Arabidopsis thaliana: one gene and its partners. The protein of the gene in region 1 purifies or fractionates together with the protein of each later gene. This does not show direct contact. Each region holds a gene or a part of one and is shown in the gene's direction. Other genes may lie near its edges.

What was found. Proteins that work in one complex are often made in the same cells at the same time.
Region 2: the proteins of alpha-ADR (region 1) and AT1G47830 purify together in Arabidopsis thaliana (affinity purification with mass spectrometry; 2 studies listed by BioGRID, with this or other methods). This does not show direct contact.
Region 3: the proteins of alpha-ADR (region 1) and AT1G10730 fractionate together in Arabidopsis thaliana (co-fractionation; one large-scale study listed by BioGRID). This does not show direct contact.

What each region holds. Positions count from the first base shown.
Region 1 is NC_003076.8:7,585,319-7,590,237, reverse strand, and holds the start of alpha-ADR (alpha-adaptin), read left to right. Parts: upstream 1-1,915; 5' UTR 1,916-2,211; coding exon 2,212-2,337; intron 2,338-3,079; coding exon 3,080-3,211; intron 3,212-3,562; coding exon 3,563-3,688; intron 3,689-3,901; coding exon 3,902-3,964; intron 3,965-4,046; coding exon 4,047-4,144; intron 4,145-4,224; coding exon 4,225-4,432; intron 4,433-4,630; coding exon 4,631-4,702; intron 4,703-4,782; coding exon 4,783-4,875; intron 4,876-4,919. Other genes in the region: AT5G22780 (Adaptor protein complex AP-2, alpha subunit), read left to right, coding at 1-138; AT5G22785 (uncharacterized protein), read right to left, coding at 394-522, 533-595. UniProt on the Arabidopsis thaliana protein: Subunit of the adaptor protein complex 2 (AP-2). Adaptor protein complexes function in protein transport via transport vesicles in different membrane traffic pathways.
Region 2 is NC_003070.9:17,612,475-17,616,869, reverse strand, and holds AT1G47830 (SNARE-like superfamily protein), read left to right. Parts: upstream 1-1,883; 5' UTR 1,884-2,085; coding exon 2,086-2,088; intron 2,089-2,176; coding exon 2,177-2,275; intron 2,276-2,351; coding exon 2,352-2,402; intron 2,403-2,674; coding exon 2,675-2,848; intron 2,849-3,316; coding exon 3,317-3,376; intron 3,377-3,482; coding exon 3,483-3,524; 3' UTR 3,525-3,841; downstream 3,842-4,395. Other genes in the region: HXK3 (hexokinase 3), read left to right, coding at 141-222, 301-627. UniProt on the Arabidopsis thaliana protein: Subunit of the adaptor protein complex 2 (AP-2). Adaptor protein complexes function in protein transport via transport vesicles in different membrane traffic pathways.
Region 3 is NC_003070.9:3,563,363-3,568,660, forward strand, and holds AT1G10730 (Clathrin adaptor complexes medium subunit family protein), read left to right. Parts: upstream 1-1,894; 5' UTR 1,895-2,100; coding exon 2,101-2,229; intron 2,230-2,369; coding exon 2,370-2,516; intron 2,517-2,622; coding exon 2,623-2,685; intron 2,686-2,795; coding exon 2,796-2,972; intron 2,973-3,046; coding exon 3,047-3,150; intron 3,151-3,242; coding exon 3,243-3,350; intron 3,351-3,474; coding exon 3,475-3,571; intron 3,572-3,665; coding exon 3,666-3,763; intron 3,764-3,863; coding exon 3,864-4,005; intron 4,006-4,080; coding exon 4,081-4,203; intron 4,204-4,318; coding exon 4,319-4,417; 3' UTR 4,418-4,744; downstream 4,745-5,298. Other genes in the region: AT1G10720 (BSD domain-containing protein), read left to right, coding at 1-217, 318-505, 599-1,084; AT1G10740 (alpha/beta-Hydrolases superfamily protein), read right to left, coding at 4,981-5,185, 5,254-5,298. UniProt on the Arabidopsis thaliana protein: Subunit of clathrin-associated adaptor protein complex 1 that plays a role in protein sorting at the trans-Golgi network and early endosomes (TGN/EE).

The sequences.
Region 1 (4,919 bases):
GAACAATTAATTACTATTCCAATGGGATCTCGAGCTCTAGTTCCAGCAGCAGGTCCAGCACCATCACCAGCAGTTCAACCGCCTAGCCCAGCGGCTTTAGCTGATGATCCAGGAGCTATGCTTGCTGGCTTACTTTAAATTCATTGGGATAAAAGATTACTTGCACATGTCGAAAAGTTTGTTTTCTGTTATTGTAGAATGTAATGGCGAAAATATGGAATGATGGGAGAGTAAATGTAGAGCCAAGGGAGAGAAAAAAGCTAGTTTTGATTATATTTGTGCCGTTTATCCAAAGCGGGCGGGTTGCGTTAGGTAAGAAATTTTGCATTCATTCTGAACATTTGTATTGTGAGGTCAGTGGTTGTATCAGCTTGTTCTTGTGCCTATATATTTTCAATCTGTTTCTCCATGAGTTTTCTGATGGGAGGTCTGTTTTTTCGCACCAGCCTTCACATTGAGAGATTTTAATGTTGTCATAAAGGGGGGAAATTGCAAAAACACATCCAACGCATAGCATTTCACCTGTAAAAACCTGATCTAATTTGAGGTGTGAATAGAGTGGGGACTTGGCCTTGGTGGGACATTCAACCGACATATATACAACCAGATTTTTACTATTACTTTGAAGAATATAATTGAAAGAAAATTTTTTTTTTACTATTTTTAATTTTCTTACAAACTGCTTATGGATTTAAAAGCTGTTTTATCAATTTTTGCATGATTTTTTTTTGTTTTTACTACATAATTTGTAATTGACAAAAGTATGATTTTTTTATATTACTATATCATTTGTAATTTTGCAAATAAAAAAAAATATAAGAACCCTAGATCCGGGGCTTGTGAAACAAGAGTGATTAAGCAAAATTTGAGTAAGTCTGACTTTTGCAAGTTTGCTTCACCAACATCAATGTCGCTCAAGTTGAAGAAGCAACTTCTCTTAAAGTATCGAATACCCTAAAATTTGTCATGCCTTGAAGAAAAACTCAACCGAGATATTGGAGCTGTTCGAAATACCTAAGAAATCAGCCGATGTTGCTAACGCAAAGGGACAATATCTTCCATAAAACTAAAAATGTTCAATAAGCAGGGCCGACCCAAATCTAAAGCCCAGCAAGCTGATGCTTTATCATCACAATCATATAAAAGCCTTGTAGTTTAATGGTTGGTGCTTCCATTAGTTATATAAGTTTACGAGTTCGATACTCAAACTGCCAAACAACAACATCCTAGGAGCATACGCTATCGCCGTCACTGCTTTTCTAGCTCAACAATTCGTCCTATTCATCGTCTTGTAGATTATGATCTTGTTATGAGACACATTTAGTATTTCAAAAACGAGAGTAGTGACAATACTTTCCTATTCACCAGAGTAATTTGGTTGCAATGATTCTAGCAAAATTGTTATCTGAAATATAGAGTATCTAAAATCTTTATTCAAAAGATTTCATAATACATTGAGTAAAATTATAAAATGCTCATAACAAAAAATAATCAAATCAGCACTGCGTATAAACCATTTGTTTCGTTCCCACTAATACCAACAAATACCATGTCTGACGAAAAAAAAAAAAAAAAAGTTGGGACCAGCTAAACCATTGCATGACCTGACCTGACCCGAATTCATAACCGGATTTTCTCATGGTACATTTTTTTTGTTAAGGATTTTCTCATGGTACATTGAATTACAACTGAATGCATTGACCGCGACAGAAAACAGTCATTTTAAAAATAAATGAAAAAGTGAAACCAGAAACAGCAGTAAATAAATATTACCCAAAAAGGCAGAAGGATACACTTTTTAACAAAATATTACGCAAACTTATAAATCCTCAAATTTAGTCCAAATGTCTAGACGCGTTAATTCTGTTTTTCGACGGGTCAATTTCGGATTCCAATTTCAAAACAGACAAAAACTGAATTACACAAAATTGAATAGTCAAAGTTGTAAATAAAGAAAAATAAAAGTCGTCTCTCGTCTCTCTCCCGCAGGCGTGTCTCTCTTCTCCAAAGATCAGTCTCTCCTTTTGAATTTCTTCGATTGAAGGTGCCATTTTCCGTTTCTAGATTGGGATTTCGATCTCACCTCTCTCGAATTGCTTATGCTTCAGCTTTAGTCTGTGGTTTATCTCGTAGTTAGATCCGGTGCCGCGAGTTTGGATCTGCGCCGTGTGAGGCGGCGGAGCACGGTGGATTTGAGGATTTGGTTCAACCATGACCGGAATGAGAGGTCTCTCCGTATTTATCAGCGACGTTCGTAATTGCCAGAACAAGGAAGCGGAGAGACTACGAGTTGATAAGGAGCTCGGAAACATTCGTACATGCTTCAAGAATGAGAAGGTTACTCTCAATTCTCTCCATTCTATTTTCTATGTTTTGATTCTCATTAGAGAGGTAATTCAGTGTCGAGTATCCGCTGAGGTTTTGGTTTATTAGAGATATTGGAGATTTATCCTTCGCAGTTGCAATGCCAATGCAATCGAATGTTAGAGCTATTAGGTTGATTAGGGAGTTAGATAAGAATGTAGATGAAACAAAGATACAGTCACTGGTCACATGCCGAGTGGATAGTTTTGGAGCTTGTAGTTTCTTACTTTATCGGATTGAGGCAATAAATTTTGATTTAACACCAATTGTGAAAATAGATAGGCAGTATAATGTTGCCGTTGTATAGCTAGCTCAAATCCTTGTAGATTAGCAATTATTCTACCTTTTGAAACATCACTACTATTGCTTTCAACTTGGAATTTCATTACTGAATATATGATGACATTTAGGAACTAGAAGAAAAGAATGGTCTGGCAGTAAATTCGGTTATGTAGTGATGGTCTAAGAAATTAAATCATGGTCACGGAAAATTTTGAATAGCTCATTACGAAGTAGATTAAGCTTTGTTGCTGTAAGAACTTCTGGAGTGAAATTCTTGTTCCATCTTACACGTAGCAGAGCTGTAGCAGGCCTGTAGTGGATCCATGTGTTTCCAGTTGGACCAACATTAAACTTATTCTTTTTCGGGGTTCATGTTAGAAATGAATTAATCAAGAACTCTTTGATTACTTGACATTCTGTTTTATTTTTGCAGGTTTTGACACCATATAAAAAGAAGAAATATGTCTGGAAAATGCTTTATATACATATGCTAGGCTACGATGTGGATTTTGGCCATATGGAGGCGGTTTCTCTTATATCTGCGCCAAAGTATCCAGAAAAGCAGGTAAACCAACGTTTTGTTTGCTCAAACAAAGAAATTTTTCTTTGTAAGGCTAGGAGAAGATAATAGATGGAGGTGTTTGCTGAAATATATTCTATTGATCAAGCTGAAACAAAGAAAGTTTCATTGAAGATCACACAGTTAGATCTAGATACCATTTCATGCGTTTGCAACTTGACTTGACCTGGGAAAGTATTGCAGACAATTACTTATAAGCACGAGTTACTTAGTAACATCTTAGAAACTCTTAACCAGAACCATGCATTGTATCTCAAGGGTTTGTATTTCCAATTTATATTGTTTCATGCTCCTTAACTAATTTGCAGGTATTGAACTTTTCATCCATGATTACAGGTTGGCTACATTGTTACATCTTGCTTGCTCAATGAGAACCATGACTTTTTGAAGTTGGCAATAAATACAGTGCGGAACGATATTATTGGTCGGAATGAGACTTTCCAGTGCCTAGCACTGACCTTGGTATGTGGTCTTTTGTCCACCCTGTATTGAGATTTTAGAGCATAGTTAGGTTCTTCTGATTATAAGATGTTGTTAAATGACTGTTTTAATGGAAGTCTTTGGTACATTATGTCTTTTGTGCTCTATCATTTCACGATTCAGAGCCACTTACTTCATGAAACTGGTCCTTTCTTTCTAGCTTTCTTACCTTGCCATGCTTACGTTCTCCTGTAGGTTGGAAATATCGGTGGAAGGGATTTTGCTGAATCATTGGCACCTGATGTTCAAAAGCTACTTGTAAGTGACTCCTAAAGATGAGAGGTTATATTTTTTTCCAATATTACTAAACATATTATGTTATGGGGTCTCTTTGCTGCAGATTTCTAGTAGTTGCAGACCTCTTGTAAGGAAAAAAGCAGCACTGTGCCTACTGCGCTTATTCCGAAAAAATCCTGATGCTGTCAACGTGGATGGCTGGTGTGTATAACACTGTGGGGTTACTGGTTCTTTGATTTTACTAGTGCATCTTTCATATTCTCTTTGTCGTATACTTCCAGGGCGGATCGTATGGCACAACTTTTGGATGAACGAGATCTTGGTGTCTTGACGTCTTCTACGAGTCTTCTTGTAGCTCTGGTATCTAATAATCATGAGGCGTACTCAAGTTGTCTACCTAAATGTGTCAAAATATTAGAACGCCTTGCTAGGAACCAAGATGTTCCTCAGGAGTACACATACTATGGCATCCCATCTCCTTGGCTCCAGGTTTGACTTAACTCGGCTTATTCACTCTTGTTTAATAGCTTAAATATTCTTTAATCGCATCCTTTTCACAAATCCTGTGCATTTTAAACATTTTATGTGAAATTAGCTTATGAAAATAGAGGCTTGGCCCAGCTTTGGTGTATTTTTGTTACTCAGTTAAAGATATCGTGGATACTTATATATCTTTGGTTAGTACAGGTTAAGGCAATGAGGGCTCTTCAATATTTCCCGACCATTGAAGATCCCAGTACCAGAAAAGCTCTGTTTGAGGTTCAATATTTTCATGTGTAAATCTGTAATATATGTCTTTGAATTTCCTCTCATGGCATGGCATTTCATGGAAATTTCAGGTCCTTCAGCGAATATTGATGGGGACAGATGTTGTGAAAAATGTGAATAAAAACAATGCGTCTCATGCTGTGCTGTTTGAAGCTCTATCCCTGGTAAGTTCGTCGGATAGCTGGGGAAATGTTGATACCATGAATTT
Region 2 (4,395 bases), on another chromosome or scaffold:
CGGTTCAGCTTTGGTTCGGTGCGGTCTATATATGCTCACCCCTAGATTCAATACCTTAATAACTTGATTAGCTAGGAAAGTGTTGTAAATTCTGATTGACAGTTTTATTCATTATTTTTTTTTTTGTAAATTTTGTAAAGGACCGAGCATCTATGCAAAATGCAAGAGGACAATACAGATGATCTTCGGGATGTTGGATCAATCCTATACGACTTTTTAGATGTAAGTTGTTAATGTATAAGGCTAATCACATCCATAGATTTGATAACTGTACCAACCTGATCGAGCTATTGAAAATAGGTAGAGGCGAATATGAATGCAAGGAGGAGAGTGGTGGAAGTGTGTGACACAGTAGTGAAACGCGGAGGGCGTCTAGCAGGAGCTGGTATAGTGGCAATTCTGGAGAAGATTGAAAAAGATACCAAAAGAATGGGTTCAGGTAAAAGAACCGTTGTGGCTATGGACGGTGCACTGTATGAGAAGTACCCACAATATCGACAGTATATGCAAGACGCACTAGTCGAGCTTCTTGGCCATAAGCTTGCAAGTCACGTTGCGATCAAACATACCAAAGACGTGTCTGGGCTCGGTGCTGCTCTTTTGGCGGCCACTAACTCCATTTACTAGTACTTGGACCTCTACTTCATGAGTATAGGAGGACTTTTGGTCCATTTGTTTGTGTACATTTATATAAGATATCATATCAATATCAATAAGATTGTAAAGAGGAGCAACGAACTAGCAGAAGATTATGTCTTGGACCACTTCGTACAACACTAGAAAATCCTTTTACTTCCAAAGTGAAAATTTTGATACGATTTATAATTTTGGATATAAATCTATCCCTATTTGGTTTGTGAAACACTCTAAATGAAGTAGAAGTTATGAATTATGTCTAATCAATGAGTTAGATTTGTAACTTTGTTTAAACAAACCGATAAGTTATGTTTAGTAACAAACGGCTGACTAGTACCATTGCTTTGTATAAATCAATAAATTAAATATAGATAATAGTTTTAAAGATTCTTTTCTAGAGTAATATATATTATTTTTTTTGAAAACTTTTAATATCATTTTAACTAACAAATAAATTTTAACCACCAAACGTTTAGTTTTTAGAGTTGGCAATCGTCCATTTTTTCTCTCTTTTAATCACTTTTTCCAACCGCTCATATGATTGGTAATCTCCAAAGCTGTTTGTTTTGTTTTGTTTGCAAACAAATCTATTGGATCTTACTAATCAAACCCAATGTCATAATTAAATATAGGGCAAGGCAAAATATTTGTAGTACTCTTATTTGATTTGCTATATCATCTTTGATCCCATTAAAAATATGCAGATATTTGTAAGTAAATTTAATATATGTTAGAGGGAAAGTTAATTACAAATATTAAAATTTGCAATATGGATATCCAAAATGGATAATACAATTTATTAGCATTCAAAAAGGTTTTGCAGTACTGGATAGTCCTAATATTTCACGTATAAAGGAAGATCAACCGTTTCACAAATGGATTGACAAATTACATGCGTTTTCATTGTTTCTAGATTTTCATGCATTTGATGTTCTCCCGAATACTTTGATTTCGATATTTAGGGATGATAAGTCTGAACTATCGTGTCACGACATGTTCGATTAAGGTTTTTCTTCTGATTTTCACCAAAAAAAAAAGAAAGCCTTATAACAAAAAAAAATTAATAAAACTTTTATCATATTTTTTGAACTTTCATAAAATATCCAATTAAAATTTAAAAATTAACAGATTTGTAACTAGTTTTGAGAGGATACGAATATGAAACACATAATATTTCATTGAGTTGGAAAAAAAAAGTTGTAGTTAAATCAAATTTTTAAAACAAAAATTCTATTTCACAAATCTTTTCTAGCTCCAAGCTTATTTTTCTATTTCCTCCTAAATCAATTTTTTTCTTAAAAACTCCATCTTTTTGACTGGATAGTTTGGCTGCTTTACGAACCTGTTTTCAACAAAGGTCGTGAAAATTCAAAGTGAGATCTGAAAGAAGAAAATTCCTCTGATCGCTCACGATTTCTCCTGAATTCTCCATTAGATTTTGCAGAGAAAATGGTACACTGCTTTATTTCTCTTCCACTTTGTTTTCCTTTGTTCATGTCTGACGCTCAATTCTGATCCACCTCTCTCCCAATTTGTCCAGATCCGATTCATATTATTGCAGAACAGACAAGGTAAGACTCGTCTAGCCAAATACTATGTCCCTCTCGAAGAATCCGAGAAACACAAAGTCGAATACGAGGTACTACTCATTTCAAATTCTATCATCTTCCTTTTTTTATCCTTTTTAGGTTTCTGATTCTTAATTCTTTTCACAGGTTCATAGATTAGTGGTGAATCGCGACGCCAAATTCACCAACTTCGTTGAGGTTTGCTGTTTTCATTTTGTAAAATTTATCATTCTTGAATCAGATTTTGTATAATTTGATTGATTTTAAAAAGCATTGGCTTGTTGAAATTGTCTTAGGTTTGAACCTGATTTAGGTTTTGTATAACAAGATTAGGGCTGTTGGAGATAGATTATTCGAGATGTAGTAGAAGTGTGATTGAGAAACAATAATATGGAATGCGTTTTATGTGAGTGGGTGTCATTGTGAATGTTAATGTATGAATGATGAAACTGTTTTGCAACTATTTTCAGTTTAGAACACACAAGGTGATATACAGGCGTTATGCTGGATTGTTTTTCTCTGTGTGCGTGGATATAACCGACAATGAGTTGGCTTACTTGGAGAGTATCCATTTGTTTGTGGAGATATTGGACCATTTCTTCAGCAATGTTTGTGAGCTAGATTTGGTGTTTAATTTCCACAAGGTACTTAACCTCTTTACTTACTCTTATCCTTTGTAAATAGCTTCTGGAACTGCTTCGTTGGATTCATAACTTTAAGTTGTGATGCTGTACAACAACTGGTTTTGAATAAACACTGGGATTTTGCTTTGTCTTTTGAGTATTGAATGCTTACAAGTTTTGAACTAGTTAAGTGAATTCTCCCAGATGTTTTAAAATGGTTTTCTGAGAATTCTCATATATTAAGCTTACAAGGGTATATCAAACTAAGCTTTTGTTTGCGAAAATCAAAAGCTAGTTTCGTTTTCTTCTCAGTATACTTGTCCCAATTCTAAGCTGACCATCGTGACCCATTAGATAAATATCTGTATGCAGCCTTGAAAAGCATTCCCTATTTGTGTTTATATATGCAGATGCTACAGTGTTTCTAGATTTGATCTGTGTTTGTACTCTAATAATTGCTAACTAGTTCCCTATGACTTAAACTGAAAGGTGTACTTGATACTCGATGAGTTCATTCTTGCTGGGGAGCTCCAAGAAACAAGCAAAAGGGTGTGAAATTTTTGTTTCAAGCTTCTCTCTTTCACTTAAATGTATCACACATGCTCTTGCTCAAGTGCTAAACTTTTAAATGTTGGGGACTTGTTTTAATTCGCAGGCAATCATCGAAAGGATGTCAGAACTCGAGAAGCTACAGTGATGACGGTTAAGAATCACATTCTACTTGGTTAACTGCGTACCTGCCAGATGTTTCTTGGCATGTTCAGAGATTTGCTATACTTTGTTGAGTTGTTAGACAATGGTGTAGCGTTTACATTGTGAATGAAGAATTTAGAGTGATTCTGCTAAAGATCTCTCATCCAACATTTTGTTTACCTGTGAGATTTTCATTTCAACTAGTGATGTACTATTTGTTTCGTAGAACTATGATACCACACATGCTTTGAGAGGATATATAACTAATATTGATAGTAACTGTTGAATTATCAACATAATGTGATGAATCGATTTCTCGTGACAACTTTAAAATCCTTTATGATCATGTCGACTAAACCATTTTCTGCTATCTCTGCCAGTGACTGGTCTGTGCTGATACCCAAATCCTTCTTTGTCCTCCACTGATAAGATTCATCAGGTCACAGAATCTCTTACATCTCAGCGACAAAACAGAAGAACATGAGACGTTTTCTCACCAACCCTACTCTTTCTTAAACTCTAACATGTTAGACTTACTAAGCGTCAAACATGAGACTTTGCGAGTTCCTGAATCAATCATGAACATTAACACTAACCAGTAATACGTAATGTAACCAAATCAGTCCTGCATCTAATGCCCAAAATACCTTTGTTCTGTTCTCTAGTGTCATCACAGTTTCCCTGAAGTTCCAAGAGCTTCCTTCAATAACTCAATGAGCATTCAAAGCAATGCAATCACCAACCTTAAGTAATAATTCAACAACACCATTACTAAATTCCACCTAGCAGATGCAAACATTTGAACATAACTTAACCCAAGTCCTCATATTCTTCTTTAGATAAACAGAACTGTTCCACAAACAGAAAATTTGAAC
Region 3 (5,298 bases), on another chromosome or scaffold:
AGGTTTAGGAGCTGGGATTTAGAAGAAAAATTGGCAGAAGGCAATGATCCGGAGGATGAGGAAGAAGAAGAAGAGGAAACAGATGAAGAAGAAGAAGAAGAAGAAGAGATCGCTGCGGTTGCTCTTACAGACGAAGTGCTAGCATTTGCGAGGAACATAGCAATGCATCCAGAAACTTGGTTGGATTTTCCTCTTGATCCTGACGAAGATCTTGATGGTAACGTATACATTGAGTCAAGTCTTTCGCTATTAGTCTTCATTGATTTGACTTATAGGCATATCAAAAGTTTGATTATTTCAACTTTTATCTAATGTAGATTTGGAAATGAGTGATGCTCAAAGAGGTCATGCTTTAGCTATTGAGCGTCTTGCTCCGAGGTTAGCTGCATTGAGAATAGAGCTTTGTCCATGTCATATGAGTGTTGGTTACTTCTGGAAAGTCTATTTTGTTCTTCTTCTTTCAAGGCTCAATAAACACGATGCTCATCTTTTGTCTTCTCCACAGGTTAAAAAAACCTGAATCTCAATCTCTTCTTGAGTCAAAATGATTCTTTGTTGTTGCTGTTGTTTATTCAACAAAATCCTTTTGCTTTTGCAGGTGATGGAAGCTAGAGCATTGTGGATGAAAGAGCTTCAGAATCAGACACATTCTTCAAAAGAAAGTAGAGATATGATTCTTGAGGAAGAAGATATTACACCATCAACTTCTAATTACTACAACCATGCTCCTCCTGAGTTTCTTTCTCCAAGAATATATGCTTTTGAACCTCCTTCGATTATGTATCGCGATTTTGAACACGGGTTTGAAAACGCTCAGTTCATCGATAAAGCTGTTATTGAGGAAAAACCAATCCAGAAGAACGACAAAAATAGTGCAAGCCTTAGCCAAACATCTAAAGATGTTGTTGATGATGATGATGATGATTGGCCAGAAGAAGAAGATTCTGCTAATTCTTGGGCTCCAATGTTTACAGTGAATGAGGATGATGTTTCTTTCAGTGATCTTGAAGGAGACGACGATATAAGTAGCTTAGCACTCAAGTCTAAGATTACATCAAAGGGCACAGACCAAAAAGGAACATGAAACATCATCTGGCTTGTTGCTTTGCCCTGCCTCACGAGATCGAATCAATAGAATTGAACATAAGTACTGTGTGCTGAGTCAAATCGTGGAAGTCTTTTGGGTGAGTTTGATTGTTTTGTGGATTTATGATGTTTGCTCTCAAAGAGAAGGAAGAAAGAAAGAAAAAGGTTTTGATTGAAACATGTACAGAAGATTTACTTTGACACTGCAATTTCATTGTAATGTTCTCTCTCGCCAAATGTAATGAAATATTGAAAAGCACTATTTCATTCGCGTGGAACTTAAAAGAAATTGATAGAGAATGGCGCAAGTGAATTCAAGTGTAACAAACTGTTAGAATCATTATTGGATTGGAAAATCATATGGGATTTTATTGCTTATGTTGAGGATTTGTATGTATGAAAATGGGAACAACCAGGAGGAGCTATCATCAATTAACAAAATAACTCCTATGACTTAACTAAAAAACAAATCTATGTTGAAATGTATAACATTTGTCAAAATGCTAGTACTTTGTTAATAATTAAGGGGTGTTATTGGTTTGTGATTTATATAGAGTTTTAGTGATTTAAAAATATTATATAGAATCTGATGTTATTCAATTCAAATTTTCATTTTTTTTTTTTAATTTGGTATTATTAGTTTAAGATTTATAAAAATTAATCTAAAATCTTCGTAAGTAAGATTGCTTCCCTAATACAGAGAAAGAAAGAAAAACCAAGTAAGATTGGTAATACGATGTCGTTTCGCAGAATAATGCAAAGCTGAACCCAATTTAATAAGCTGCACTTTTCTTTCTTTCTCGAGTCTCCCGTCGTTTTTTATGTCAGAACCAATTCGTCAGGTCGTGAATAAGTGACTTTATCGACGAACCACCACTCAGCTGCAGCAAATGATCGTTTAGCTCCGGCGAAGCGTAAAATTCTTCAGATCTCTCTGGAATTAATAATCCGTCTGTTTGATCGATCTGATTCGGCAAATCCTTGAGAAAACAAGGAGGGAAGAAGAAGAAGAACATGGCAGGGGCGGCCTCAGCGCTGTTTCTGCTCGATATCAAAGGTCGTGTTCTCGTGTGGCGCGATTACCGTGGCGATGTCACCGCTGCTCAAGCTGAGCGTTTCTTCACCAAACTCATCGAGACAGAGGTGAAGTTTTAACATTTGGAACTAATGAACAAGCTTGATCAGTGCTTAAAAGGATTCAATTTGATCAGAATCGTTATACTTATGACTAAATGACTAGTGTTTTCTCTGCGGGTTTGCTTACTTTCGTCTAATATGTTCAGGGTGATTCACAGTCAAATGATCCGGTTGCTTATGATAATGGCGTGACCTACATGTTTGTACAGCATAGTAACATTTACCTCATGATAGCGTCCAGACAGAACTGTAATGCTGCCAGTCTTCTCTTCTTCTTGCATCGTGTAGTCGATGTAAGCATCCCTAGTGATTCAGTTTTTTGCATTTCCATCTGTTTTCTGAATTTGAAGAAAAAAGAACGGCACTGTTTCATATGTTACAGTCTTATACTGATCGTAGGTCTTCAAGCATTACTTCGAGGAGTTAGAGGAAGAATCTTTGAGAGATAACTTTGTGGTAGTGGTAAGATAATGCTTCTCACATCTCTTCTTATAACTGTTTTCCCTCTTGCATGAGGTGGATATGTGTGGGCGAAAGTTATTTCTAAAAACATTTACTTATGTTACTGGCAGTATGAGTTACTTGACGAGATGATGGACTTTGGTTACCCTCAGTTTACTGAGGCAAGAATCCTTAGTGAATTCATCAAGACTGATGCATATAGAATGGAAGTTACACAGAGACCTCCAATGGCTGTCACTAATTCTGTCTCATGGAGGAGTGAGGGGTTAAAGTTTAAGAAAAACGAAGTAGGTGCTCAACATTTTACTTTTCAATTGTTTTAGGTTTTCTAATGTTTGCAGACTGATGTTTTGTTTTCCAGGTTTTCTTGGATGTGATAGAGAGTGTAAATATCCTTGTGAACAGTAATGGGCAAATTGTCAGGTCTGATGTCGTTGGAGCTTTGAAGATGCGAACATACTTGAGGTGCGTTCTCTAGTGTCCCTAGTTAACCAACGCATTTAAAATCAAAAGTCCCTCCTCTTTGACTCTCTGCTTCTTTATCCATGTTATTACAGTGGAATGCCAGAGTGTAAGCTAGGCTTGAATGACAGAATATTGTTGGAGGCACAGGGACGAGCAATAAAAGGAAAAGCCATTGATTTGGAGGACATCAAATTTCATCAGTACGTTAATCTCTTGCAACTTTAAACATTCTTTGACAGTCACTCTATCGAGGCCAATTTTTTTACTAACTCGAAAAATTATTGAATACTTGAGTTTTTACACGTCTCTTTCTTCAAAATGTAGGTGTGTTCGATTAGCCCGTTTTGAGAACGACAGGACAATATCATTCATACCACCTGATGGATCTTTTGATCTTATGACGTATAGACTCAGTACTCAGGTTTTAGAATGTGTAATATTGCAGAAATGGTTTTGTCCCCTTCTTAAACGAATTATATCATGATATATCTTATTTTCGCATAATACTTGTTCAGGTAAAGCCTCTTATATGGGTGGAAGCGCATATAGAGAGGCATTCCAGAAGTCGTGTTGAGATGCTAGTAAAAGCTAGAAGCCAATTCAAGGACAGAAGGTAAGTAACAAATGTTACTTAACACGTTTAACCATTACCTGAAATACTGAAATACTGGAATCCTTTAACGCGTTTTGATAAGAGTTCCTTTTTTCTGCAGCTATGCAACAAGTGTTGAGATTGAGTTACCTGTACCAACTGATGCGTATAACCCCGATGTAAGAACATCTCTCGGGTCGGCCGCATATGCTCCTGAGAAAGATGCACTGGTCTGGAAGATACAATATTTCTATGGGAACAAGGTAAGTTCTTATAGTTTAATGTAACACTTGACCATGTAAAGTCGAATGCTTACATTAAGTTTTGAAACAATGTAGGAGCATACATTGAAAGCAGATTTCCATCTTCCAAGTATAGCCGCAGAGGAAGCAACGCCTGAGCGAAAAGCTCCAATCCGTGTCAAATTTGAGATCCCAAAATTCATAGTTTCAGGAATACAGGTTGGTATTACTCACAATGATACGTTATTATCATATAGATCACATTCTTTTTATATTACTGCATTGAAATCTGAAGGCAAACAAACCTGATGTGTGTTAATTATGGGTATTGCAGGTTCGATACCTGAAGATCATTGAGAAGAGTGGGTACCAGGCACATCCATGGGTGAGATATATAACCATGGCTGGTGAGTACGAACTGAGACTCATGTAAAATGAGATCGTTTTTTTGTTTTTACTATTATTTAAGCCATTGTCAACGACACAAAGCAGAGGAAGATCAATGAGAAAAGGAAAAAGATTGAAATATATTAGCTGATAGAATTTGCGGTGAAGGTTGTTTTAGAAGCCATTTTCTTGTGAATTGTTTCATGGCGTTCTCTTTTTTTTTTTTTTTTTTCTGTAAAACTATATACGACAGTTATATATATATTGGGTTACAATTGTTAAACATCGAGTTTTATTTGGGGTTCTTTCAGTTCGTTTACCGATGGAAAATGCATGCAGTCTGGGTGACTACACCAATAATGGTTTTCCTTAAACGTCCGCTAATTTTGTAAGAGTTCACTATATAAATAACTTTGATGAGGCAGTAGAGCAACATGACGAACTAACAAATATTATAATTTTCAAAATGGAAGATATATATTTTACAGTACAACAAATCGAGAGGAGAACAAGAAGAACAATGAATAATCTGTATTAGTAGTAAATAGCCTAAACAAAAACTTAAGCCCTCAACGTAACAACCCTAAAACATTTTTTTTTTGCATGTGATCAATGTACAAAGTTGTTTATTCTGGGTGATGATGATGAACGAGGAGAAGAAGGAGATTGATTGGGGAGAGTCTGAGGAATCTTTCTAAAAACATGTTTCCTGCAACGTTGGAAGATGCTGTCGTATATCAGATCAAACTGAACACCAGCTCTCTCTCTGTTCACTATGAACATTATGTGATCTGCTTCCACTATCTTATAATACCTGCAACAACAAGGTATTCAGATTTTCTCAATCCATCAACGTCATTAGGTCATATATGATTCACTTACCAGATCCCGGGTTGTAATGTTTGACATTCCGAATCGCTCCTTATG